Caenorhabditis elegans: one gene and its partner. The protein of the gene in region 2 purifies or fractionates together with the protein of the main gene of each other region. This does not show direct contact. Each region holds a gene or a part of one and is shown on either strand. Other genes may lie near its edges.

Region 1 (5,025 bases), on a different chromosome or scaffold from region 2:
TCTTGCCAGATTTCGACAAGAAGGTCGTTCTTCTTCGAAGCCTTCATGACGGAGACAACGGTGTCGTTGAGAGGATCCTTGTTCTTCTCGAGCCAGTTCAACACGTTGTAACGGACAGTTCCGGCGTAATGCCGCATGGCGAAGTGAGCCTCTCCTTGCTTTCCCTTTGGTGGTTTTGGCTTTTCGAAGTTTGGATGCTTTCCAAGATGTTGATCGGTAAGCTTCTGGGCAAGAGTCATGTCAGTAGCCTTTGGAACAATACACTCCTCATCAAGCATAGAGATGATACCGAGTGGCTTCTCAATAAGCTCGATACAAGCTTGGAGATCAAGTCCGAAATCAATGAATGTCCATTGGATTCCTTCACGGGCGTACTCTTCCTGCTCAAGAACGAACATGTGATGGTTGAAGAATTGTTGGAGTTTTTCGTTGACGAAGTTAATCCAGAGCTGTTCGAAGGAATTGAAGTCGAAGATTTCGAATCCAGCAATATCGAGTACTCCGATGAAATAATCACGATCAATTCCCTTTTGATCAAGAGTAAGATTACATTTCTTGACAAGCCAGTGGAAGACACGAGCGTATAACCCCTTAGCCATGGCTCCAATAGCCCAGTGAACTTGATCAACGTTCTGTCCCTTGGATACCCATTCGGTTCCGACCTTGACTCTTGGAGACACCAAAGCCTTAAGGAATTGATCGACATCAATTCCGTACATGTTACAAGCTCTCTCAGCTTCATCTTGGCCATCTGGCTCGGCTTGCTCCTCACGTGGGCGTTGCTTGAATTTCATGTTACCCATGTGCATGTGAGCCGACATGAGTCTATAACAATCCATCTTCTCGGTGGGCGAGAATTTGAGAACATCAAAGGCCTCGTCGGTCAATTGGAACTCCTCAGTGTCATCGATTCCTGGAATAAAACAAGTTAATCTCATTCTCCAGAAATACAAAACATACCATCAATGAGCAACTCAGCTTGAGCAACAAACCAATAGTTGGAAATTGGATGGTTGAGAAGAAGCTCGTCACGGAGTTGTGGCTTAAAATCTGAGTAGATTTGGTAGAAGATATGGTAACAACGCTCTCCTGGAGCTTGACGGATGACACGAGATTTCTCGAGAAGATCTGAACAATTTACGATTTTCGTAATAACTTCTTATCATTATTATCAACTTACAGTGTTCAATATCGCAGGAAGCAAGAGTTCCGTGCTTGTTGAAGTGAATACGGATGAACTTTCCGAAACGGGAAGAATTGTTGTTACGGACAGTCTTGGCGTTACCTAAACAACCAAATTATCAGACAAGTGTTAATTTTTTAATTTATGTCTGTACCGAAAGCTTCCAATACTGGATTGGTTTGAACGATCTGGTCTTCAAGGGTAACTTCCTTCTCTCCCTCCTTCAAAGCAGCCTTTTGTGAAGCTCCGACGGTGGCAAAGTAGCAAATAACCTTCTTTGTGTTTTCAGTCTTTCCGGCTCCAGATTCTCCGGTAATAAGCATAGACTGATTCTCATGGTCTTGAAGCATGTAACGGTAGGCTTGATCAGAGACAGCGAACAAATGAGGTGGCATCTCGGTACGACGCTTGCCCATGAACATACGAGCAACAGAGTCAGTGTAAATTGGGAGACGTTTGTATGGGTTGATGACAACGCAGAAAAGTCCAGAGTAGGTCTGAAAATGGGCAAATTGGAACATTTTGTTTCAGTCAATATCCCATTTTTATAGAACTTACTTCTTTAAATTTCAGTAGTATTCAAATTTAGTTATTTTTTGGAACGATATTTTTATATTCTCAATACTGCCTTTGTTGAATCACATATTTTTAGTACCATTCCAATTTCAGTCCAAAATTCCAATATAAATTTTCTCTTTACTCACTGTGCACATTGAGCATGACTCTCTTTGTTTCTCATCGTCTGTCTCGATCCACTTAAGATAGCATTTTGCCACTTTTGCGTGGGCGCACTATTTGCCTATCCAACTACGCATTTTCGCAGATCTTTTTTCCGTGTTTCTATTTGAAGTTTTTTGAAACTGAAAAAACTTACATAGATAAGCATAGCAGCGTAACGGGAACGCAAATTCCACAGAACGGAGGCGTCATTAAGGAAAGTCAAGTTGGACATGTCTTCGGTTTTCTCGAACTTTGGTGGATTGACTTCTTGAACGATATCCTTCTTCAAAGTTACATCTTTGCCTCCGGCGGTAACGATAACAGTATCGGCCTTTGGTCCTGGACCCTTAATAACTCCCTCAATGTATCCTTCTTCGGCATCTGGAATCCAGACGTTCTTCTTCGAATCGTATGGGCGGGATTGATCCTGTAAAATAAAAAAAATATAAAAATTAATTTATATTCATACATAGTTATAAAATAATTATTATCCTAAATATCAAAACGGTGAAGTTTAGAAGCTTTAAAAATAACGATCTACCGAAAAACCGGTAAGAATTTTAAGAGATTGAACCTTGAAAATATGTTTAAAAAAGTAGCCAAGAAACAATTTTTAATATTTTGCTGTAAAAATGCTCACTTAACCACTTTAAAATAACTCTATTGTAATTGAAAAAGTTTCATTTTAAAGTTTATCAGAACATATTCAACAAGTAAAATAAAGATTGAATCTTGTTCTAGTTGGAAAATTAAATTGAATTGTTTCTATACTCAAAATAGATGAAATATTATTTGTCGAGAGAAGGACAAATTGGGAAAATACGGTATTTTATTAGGTTCAAAACTGAAGGAACAATTCGTTATTAGAAGTGTATAAAAAGCAGCGACTTCAGATAAATTTCGAATATTTTGGAATTTGAGAAGATTAGGATTTATGAGGAGAAAAAATACGTCGAATGTAAACCTAGGAAAAAGTAGAAAGTAAAATGAAAGAAGTAAAATCTTACCGCGAGCTGTTGCTCTCTCGACCTTTTCAGGTACTGCCATCCTGGGTCCTTCTCGTGTTCGAGCGACATTCTTGATTTGTTTCAGTGGAAATTAAAACGAACGGCTAATTGAAAAATGAGGCTAAACAGGTGGGTGACTTCTTCTTTTTCTTCCTACTGCTGCACTGCACACAGCTCCACACTACTGTGCTCTGCAGGGACGGATAATAGTTTGGCACACACAAGAGAGAGCTTCACTCGGCACACTTCATAGGGCGGAGCAACTCAAACTCCCCCTCATCTTCCTCTCTTGCTTAGCGCCCGTGCGCAAGAAAGGGGGCTCTCCGATATCCACACAATGAACTGTTGCCGAGAGCATCAAACGTCTCTTGGATGTGCATTGTCCATACGTTTTGAGCTTTTGCGTCGCCAGTCCAAGTACTTTATCTTTCAGGTTCATCGAAAGAGTATGTTAAATTGAGAAACGAAGAGATTACTGTAGAACTTGTTGAAAAAATCAGAGGAGGGGGTTCTTTCGGAATGAGCCCGCGCTTTTTTGAGCACACATTATTATTGGATAGAGACATACGTAAGAGATTTTTGAGAGTAAGCGCTTGGAACTTGTGGGAGTAGATAAAAAAATGTAGAAAAAAAATTAAGGGATTCATTCTTAGTTTACTTATATTTGTATAAAAAATTGGAATCAGTGATTTCAGTAACCTGGACCAGCAAACTGGTCTTATTTTATTATTAGAAACAACACTATTAGAACATTAATGAATACTGTGTAAGAAATCCGAATAATAATAATAGATCTAAATCGGATTTGGACACAATTATTTAGAAAAATTTTAAAAAAAGCGACGTTTTGAGTTTAAAAAAATATTTTTGCTTCCATCGTGTTCTTTGAAGTACATTCAAAGTTGGATGCTTTGTCGTTGAAAACATTTGTCTACATTAAAATTCAGAAATCCATCAAAAAATTTAACATGAGAAAATGTTATATAGAAACTGTGCTGCCAAATAATATTCAATATAGTGTACCTTAATACCTCAAGCAATTTTATAAGTATTTATTTTTTTTGTCAAACCATGATATTCAACCTTAACGTTTTCATTTAAAAATCACTATTTTGTATTCGCATAGTTCATTCGCGATGTGCGCATACTCATTTCGATTGAGGACCGGTACGATATGTGTTTCACGAAAACGAGCATCCGCAATGCACTCACTGCGAGGCGCGTTTGGCACATTGTGGCCGACTTCGTTGGGGATGTGTGCCACAATATCACTGCTGCGAAGATCTCTCTGGACATATTATGTGCTGATCAGATATTAGTCTCCCAGCTAGGAATTAACTTTTCAGATTATTAGTTATAGATTGTTTGAGAAACCTGTTTTTTTAACTGTTGCAAATAACGTTTTTTTTGTAGCTTAACCTAACTTTCATATCCATTCTCTCCAAAAATGTGTTGTAATAATGATGAGAGACCAAGTGGCATTGGTGAAGGAAGTTTCACCGAATCTCTCGACTTTTTTGTGCCATGTCTTTGCTCCCCCATCCCACACTCGGATACTTCTGCGCATCCTCCGCTCGCCTTTTCTTCGAATTTTTCTCGTTTTTCTAATAGTAATATTTGCCCAATTTCTCCCCCATCTATATCTCTCACACAGTATTTGTATGTGTGTGCGTAAATGTGTGTGTGTCTGTTTCTTTTTGAGATTTTCGCTCCTCTTATTCATCTTTGTTCTCGGGGCCACCCCCTGAAATTCAAAGTGAACACGGGAACACCGATCAAGTATGTACATCGACCAAGAATTGAAATCATTTTCTCCTAGTTAACAGTCTGGAAACACGAAAAGTTGAATTAGTTTGTTTCTCAGCAAATTGAAATAAAAAATTAAAGTTTCTAAAAACTTTTAAGAAGACTCTCGAAATTTCTAAGATTTCTGTGACATGTACCATTCTTTTTCCTTGTAAGTATTGCTGATCTACTAGAAAATGTTGTTTCAGAATTTTTTCTTAAAAAATTCAAAGGATAAGTTAATTAAAAAATTACAATAAATATATATGCAAAAAGGATTCTGATGGCAAAAATATTCCCAACATTTTCGATATTTTTTAAAGAATAATG
Region 2 (6,093 bases):
GAAAAATTTTTAAAGTCACTTTTGGACCCTTTTTGAAAAATTTACAGCCGAGGTGCAGTTTTATATTAAAAAAAAATGGTCAGTGCATTCTTTCACTACATTGATATAATAGAATGCACTGACCATTTTTTCACTACTTCGATAGTCTGAAAATTTACTCCAATTAAGGTGTTTTGTAAGCATTTGATGATTTCATAACGGTTAGCAAATATTCTGCAAGCTTTTGAAAATTTTTCATCTTTTTGTCAAGAATCTGAAACTTTTTCCAATCCAACACGATCAAAAATAATACTTGTTGAGCATACTCCTAGTAGTTTTTCCCAGGTTGGCAAAACATCCTAAAATTAGAACTACACATGAACTATCTTCAATTAATTTTTTTTTTGCTTAAAGGTGGAGTACCGAAATTTGAGACCTTTGTTTTTTTAGACCCAAAATGACCCAAAACTACCGAAGTTTGTAATCACGTTTTGAAAATTTTTCAAAAAAAAGTTATGGTGGTTCAAAGTTTTAGAAAAAAAAGGCTGATTTTCAGTTAAAATCACAATTTTTTAAAAACTTCTCGGTGTCACAGCGTCTGGAGCTTAATTTTTATTGAATTATCGCTTTTTAATAAATATTTTGGTTTTTTATTACTCGTTTATTCGTTGAGTTAAGTGCATTTTCTGTCAGTGGACCACAATCAAAAGTTACATTTACTTTGTGGGAATACATGATTGAATTTTTGTTTACAATGTTCTTACAACTCTTATCATTTTGAAAAACCAAAATCATTTTATTGTATTCAATCAAAAAATTAAAGCATCCTGAAAACATGAATCATGGAATTTGAAATTTCATAGAAATGAGAAGTTAGAGTAAGGGTTGGACCAGGCCGTGTAGTAACGTCTAGATTGGCAAGAATACACATTGAACGTAAAGCCGTATATCATCGAAATGGCAAAATAAATTACACCAACTGTTCACCTCCGGAACCACGGACGCGGCACGTAAAATCGTTTTGTATCAATGTTGTCGACTGACTCTTTTCTGCAAATATTTAATTGGACATGATGTATTGAATTTTCAATAAAAGTTGAATCGGTGTAGTTCTTTAGTCTTGGCACTTTCTCTAGTAAAAAGGAATTTGAAGAGTGTTTATTTTTGCGGCGTCAATTGAGTGAATCAACATGTGACGTTAACAAAAGTTTAAGTATCAATTTATGTCGCTGCACTTTTGATCTTGCCGCCAAAATGTTGTAACAAAAACAAGAAGTGTTATGTAATTAGATTAATCAATTAGAACAACATAAATTATTCACTTCAAATTATAGTATAGAACCCCTGTTTAGTGTTTTTTTACGTTTGATTGAAAAAGTAATATCAACCTTATGAACTATAAAAAAAATATTAAAGGTGGAGTAGTGTCAGTGAAGATTTTGCCTGAATGCACTTATAATGATCTAAAAAACCGAATATCATAATAAAGTTCTCTAAAAAATTTTAGATTTTTCATAATTTCCGGTCAAAGTTTTGGCAAATTGCCAAGAAATGTCGCATGTTTAATAAAAATTAACAAAAATAGTTTAAACAAAATTAAAACATAAAAAATGTCGAAAAACAATTTTTTTTGTTCAACTTCCAAAATTATGAATGGCAAAAACTGAGTAATTGCCACTTTTTGACAGTAAATAAAAAACTTTCAAAATTTATTTTTAAAGTTTTATCATGATATTTGGTCATTTTTGGACCAAAGGAGTGATTTTTAACAATTTCCCCACTGGCGCTACTTCACCTTAAAACTTGGAAACTGTCGCTTTTTGATCAAACAGTAATTTTTGGAACTGTTGTTAATTTAATTATATGTTGTTTTAAACTAGGTGAACTTAAAACTCAAAAACATATTTTGTATGCTCAGAACTCTCACCTTTTTTGTAGGTCCTCATAGAACGGCTGGAAATAATCTGTTTTGAATTCTTCAATCACATCCGGGTAAAACACTTCACTAAACGAAGTGCTTAAACTATTCGAAACCGTATCCAACTTTTTCAGCGTTCTTTCGTAGGCCTTCCCAATTGCGTCGATGTAATATGGGTTACTAGCTGATATTCTCATGTGTGACGATTGCAACCAGCCGTTTTCCCTGAATTATCGACGTTTATTCTGAAATGCTATTAAGATAGTACCTATTGTGAACCCACGTGGAGTTTTCAAAAAATGTCTTTAACTGCACATAATCTCTTATTGAATCCCGTACTCGATACCCGGGAAATCGGCACCGATCCGACCCAGCCACAAGCTGATCAAGTGTGGTGGTTTGTGGACAATTTAATGCCTGTATTACTTGTTCGGCAGACTCCTCTGTAATATAAAATTGAAATGGTGATGTTTGAACTTTTCTTACTGTCTATATGAAACTTTGTTAAAACAATCAGGTTCAATGCCAGTGATACCATTGAAGTTGGCCAAAGTTCACAGAGTGATGCAAAGTGATCATATCTGAACGGTGGTATATCAATCGAAAGTTGATTCTGAATTTGATTACCTTTGCCAACCAGTGATGATGATAGAGTCAAAGGTCGTAAACTGTGGTTTATATTTTTCATTTTGAAGATACCATTCTTTATTGTTGAGTATATATGGTTTCAAGCGATTCCAATACCGACTAGCACCATCCGCGCCTGAATTAAAAATGAGATTATAATTATTATTGTTGGCAAATTATATACAACTACCTTTAAAAGCACTGCCACCCCATACTTCCTTAAACGAGTAGGACATATTTTTCCACATCTCTGAAGGTAAATCATTGTCCAAGTTAGCGGTATATTTCCATACGACCGGTATCACAAGATTGTCAAGGTTGTATTCTTTGATAAGTTCTAAGGGCGCACTTTTCAGTTCGTCGTACCACATTAACACCTGGAAAAACTGGGTTTATGGGGTCGGAACTGGGTTGACGAGACCGAGACAAAGATGTACTTTTGACAATACCCCCGACATACCTTTGTGGATGGATATTCTTCCGTAATGTTAAGCGACACCATTCTCAAGTGGTCGAAGATCATACGCAACTTATTGTTGTCATATTTGACCGGCAAAATCTCGCGATCCGCATCACATATTCCCACTTGAAACGCTTCATCTGCGCCAATATGCACATATCCAGTATTGAAGTTGGAATGTATTCTCATTAGCTTAATAATATTACGGTTCTTAAAATTTTGAAAGTGTAAGGCTTACTTGGTTAACCGAGTCTAAAATGATATCCAAACTTTCCGGGTTCCCAATACAAGCTACCATTGGATAACGCTCGTCTTCTCGCAGCACTGAGTACTCTTCAGTTTTCAGTATCCATTCCATATGGGCAAGAGTTTGAACCAACGGGATCACTTCAAGTTGTAACTGTTGTGCACTGAAATGAAAAATATTGCACATAGATATATTTGATGAAATTTAATCTGGAACATTATCTTTAAAGTGATTATCAAAATATCAGATGTTCAAGTATTGTAAACAGTAAAAAATAGATTTGAACTGGAGTATCAATTGTTAATAACATTCAAAAAAAGCAGCGTATGGCCCAGAAGTTTCAAAACTTGAAATTTATGTTTTAAATGTAAAGCTTCAATAATCAGAATACTCTAATAAACATGATATTTTTGAAGACATGGATTTGTAAATTTTCAATACATGATTTCAAAACTTACTGTTCCAATACACTAATCACTTCCTCTTCGGTATAAGCATTTTTATTAACAACTCTAGAAAGACCTCCTTGATATGGGAACATGTCCTGAAATATTAATGTCAAAGTGTGACTTTTTCATATAAACTTACTTCCCACTCTAGTAACACTCCTGTGGCACCTAACCCACTAATTGTGGTGAGAAGCTGCTTGAAGTAGGCGACTTTTGGAGGAGCACCTAAAAAGGACAGTTGTAAACGTTGTTATAGTTATTTAGTTATCTAGGTATAGTTATCTAGACATTTAGACATTATCTAGACATATAAACAGAATTCACCTTTCATATCAAAATGAACTATAGACCTTTGATATCCGCATGTTGCGAACTGTACAATACACGCTAAAATACAGATTGTCCTTCGAAGTAGCATAGGCTTCCAAACAATCTGAAAAATGTTGCACATAATCATAATCAAAAAAGATTAAAATGAGCGGAGCTGCAAATGATAATGATACATATGTAGGACGTGGTTGGCAGCTGGGAAACTCCCCAATAGTTAAACAACGTAAAGTGGCGAAAAACTGAAAACAGTGTATAGTTTAGGTTTGCAAACAAACCGCGGACTGATGGGGGGGGGGGGGGGACGACTAAAGAAAGAGTATCGATTGGCTTGGTTACAAGTGTAGGGTACTTGAGTAAGTACCTTTAGGAAAACATTTAATATCATTAAACCTGACTGATGTTCGTCGAAAAGTAGTGATAATGGGGTTTTTCTATCTCTCCACTCTCCCATTCTTTCTTTTTCGCGTTCTCATCATTTTTGAACAAAAATCTCGAAGTTGGAACCTAGAACCTAGAACCAAAAACCGAGAACCAGAAAAAAACGTGTTAAATATAGAGAAAGGTAAGGAGAACTGAATTTTTGTGTAAAAATAATTCACCTCTCCCCCCTCCCCCCATATATCCTATCAACCCGCGCGTGATACCCAATTTCCCACCATAGCCAAAAAAAAAACTAGAAAAAACTAAGAAAAGGTAACTTGATACGTTTCAAGTAATGGTTTTGAATTGATCCTTCTTATACAAAATACTACTACTTGTCCACACCACAATAGAGCGGAACACAAAAAAAAACCCAAAGAGCGAATCAAAGCAATGCATATTGTCAACAATGAAACGGGTATTTGAAATAAAACTACTGAGTGAGTGAGTGTGAAAAAAAATGACAAGAGAACTGACCGCAAAAAAACAATTTAGACTTTTTTGTGTAGAAAATTATTGACAGGGGGAGAGAACAAGATTTGAAAATGCAAGAAAAGGGAGAAAACCCCCACGTGCGTGAGATATCAAGTTTTTTCTTTCACGCTTCATCTTGCACTTCGCACTATTTTTTCATTCATGATACAATTGATAAGAATATCTTAAAGGTGAGAAATTGAAAGAGTTGTTATAATATATTCGTTCGACTAGTAATATGTACAATATTTATAAAAAGAAGTAATGAAACCTAATTCGAAATATAATTTCAAAACTCTGCTAAAGTTTTAAATTTTTGGAAACAACTTTTGACGAATTACCAAATTGCCAAATATAGCCAAATATGCGAAAAACTTGAACTCTTTGAGGAACTTATTATAGAATAGTATTTGCATGTTGAGAGTCCTACCGAGTTTTATAATAACTTTCGCACTGTAGAAGTAGTATTAAACAATTTTTCCACACTCGGTTTCAACCGTTAATAATTCCACTGTGTTAAAATAAATGAAATTTCGAAAATCTTCACAATTTATTAAATGAAAATTATACAGATTGTCATTTTTAAAATTGTAAGTATCTTCAATAAAATGTTCAACAATTACCATAACACAAAGCCCCCTTTTAAATCAAAAATCTATTCTTGAACTACTGATTATTTTTCAATTTTGTGCTAGAAATGTATTGGCTAAAGTGAAAATATATAACAATAAATACATATGAAACTTGTAAATTTAGATAGAAAACACACAACTACACATCAATGAACAAGCGTTCCAGGCACAAAAAAAATTGAAAGTGACTAGCTAAATAGTAAAACGAGAGTTCGGCCATCTTCGACCCACCGCAAATTTACTTTTTAGCAATCTTGAGGTTGAAACACAAAAAAAGTTACACTAAAAAAAATGAACGTATTGTTTTGTGTCTCTGTTGGCGTGGAGGCTGAAACTAAAACTGTTACAACGCAAGAACAAAAAATCAAGACAAGAATTGCATTGTTTTGAGGCTTGAGACAAATAGGTTTGTGACGGAAGAAGAGACGCCACTGCTCTCAGGCTTAGTGCTGGTCACAGACTGGTCGGACTGAGAGATCATTTTCGAAGATCAGAAATTTGAAACGCACATTTGAAACACGCAATGTTATGATGTTTGATGACAGCTAGTTTGAGAT

Evidence for each region.
Region 1: the proteins of hex-5 (region 2) and myo-1 fractionate together in Caenorhabditis elegans (co-fractionation; one large-scale study listed by BioGRID). This does not show direct contact.

What each region holds. Positions count from the first base shown.
Region 1 is NC_003279.8:7,263,957-7,268,981, forward strand, and holds the start of myo-1 (Myosin-1), read right to left. Parts: upstream 3,102-5,025; 5' UTR 2,980-3,101; coding exon 2,911-2,979; intron 2,331-2,910; coding exon 2,058-2,330; intron 1,681-2,057; coding exon 1,338-1,680; intron 1,286-1,337; coding exon 1,181-1,285; intron 1,129-1,180; coding exon 961-1,128; intron 914-960; coding exon 1-913. UniProt on the Caenorhabditis elegans protein: Muscle contraction.
Region 2 is NC_003284.9:14,901,131-14,907,223, forward strand, and holds hex-5 (beta-N-acetylhexosaminidase), read right to left. Parts: upstream 4,132-6,093; 5' UTR 4,099-4,131; coding exon 4,005-4,098; intron 3,906-4,004; coding exon 3,820-3,905; intron 3,776-3,819; coding exon 3,690-3,775; intron 3,395-3,689; coding exon 3,223-3,394; intron 3,177-3,222; coding exon 2,985-3,176; intron 2,902-2,984; coding exon 2,715-2,901; intron 2,661-2,714; coding exon 2,525-2,660; intron 2,479-2,524; coding exon 2,384-2,478; intron 2,341-2,383; coding exon 2,166-2,340; intron 2,123-2,165; coding exon 1,907-2,122; intron 1,030-1,906; coding exon 963-1,029; 3' UTR 751-962; downstream 1-750.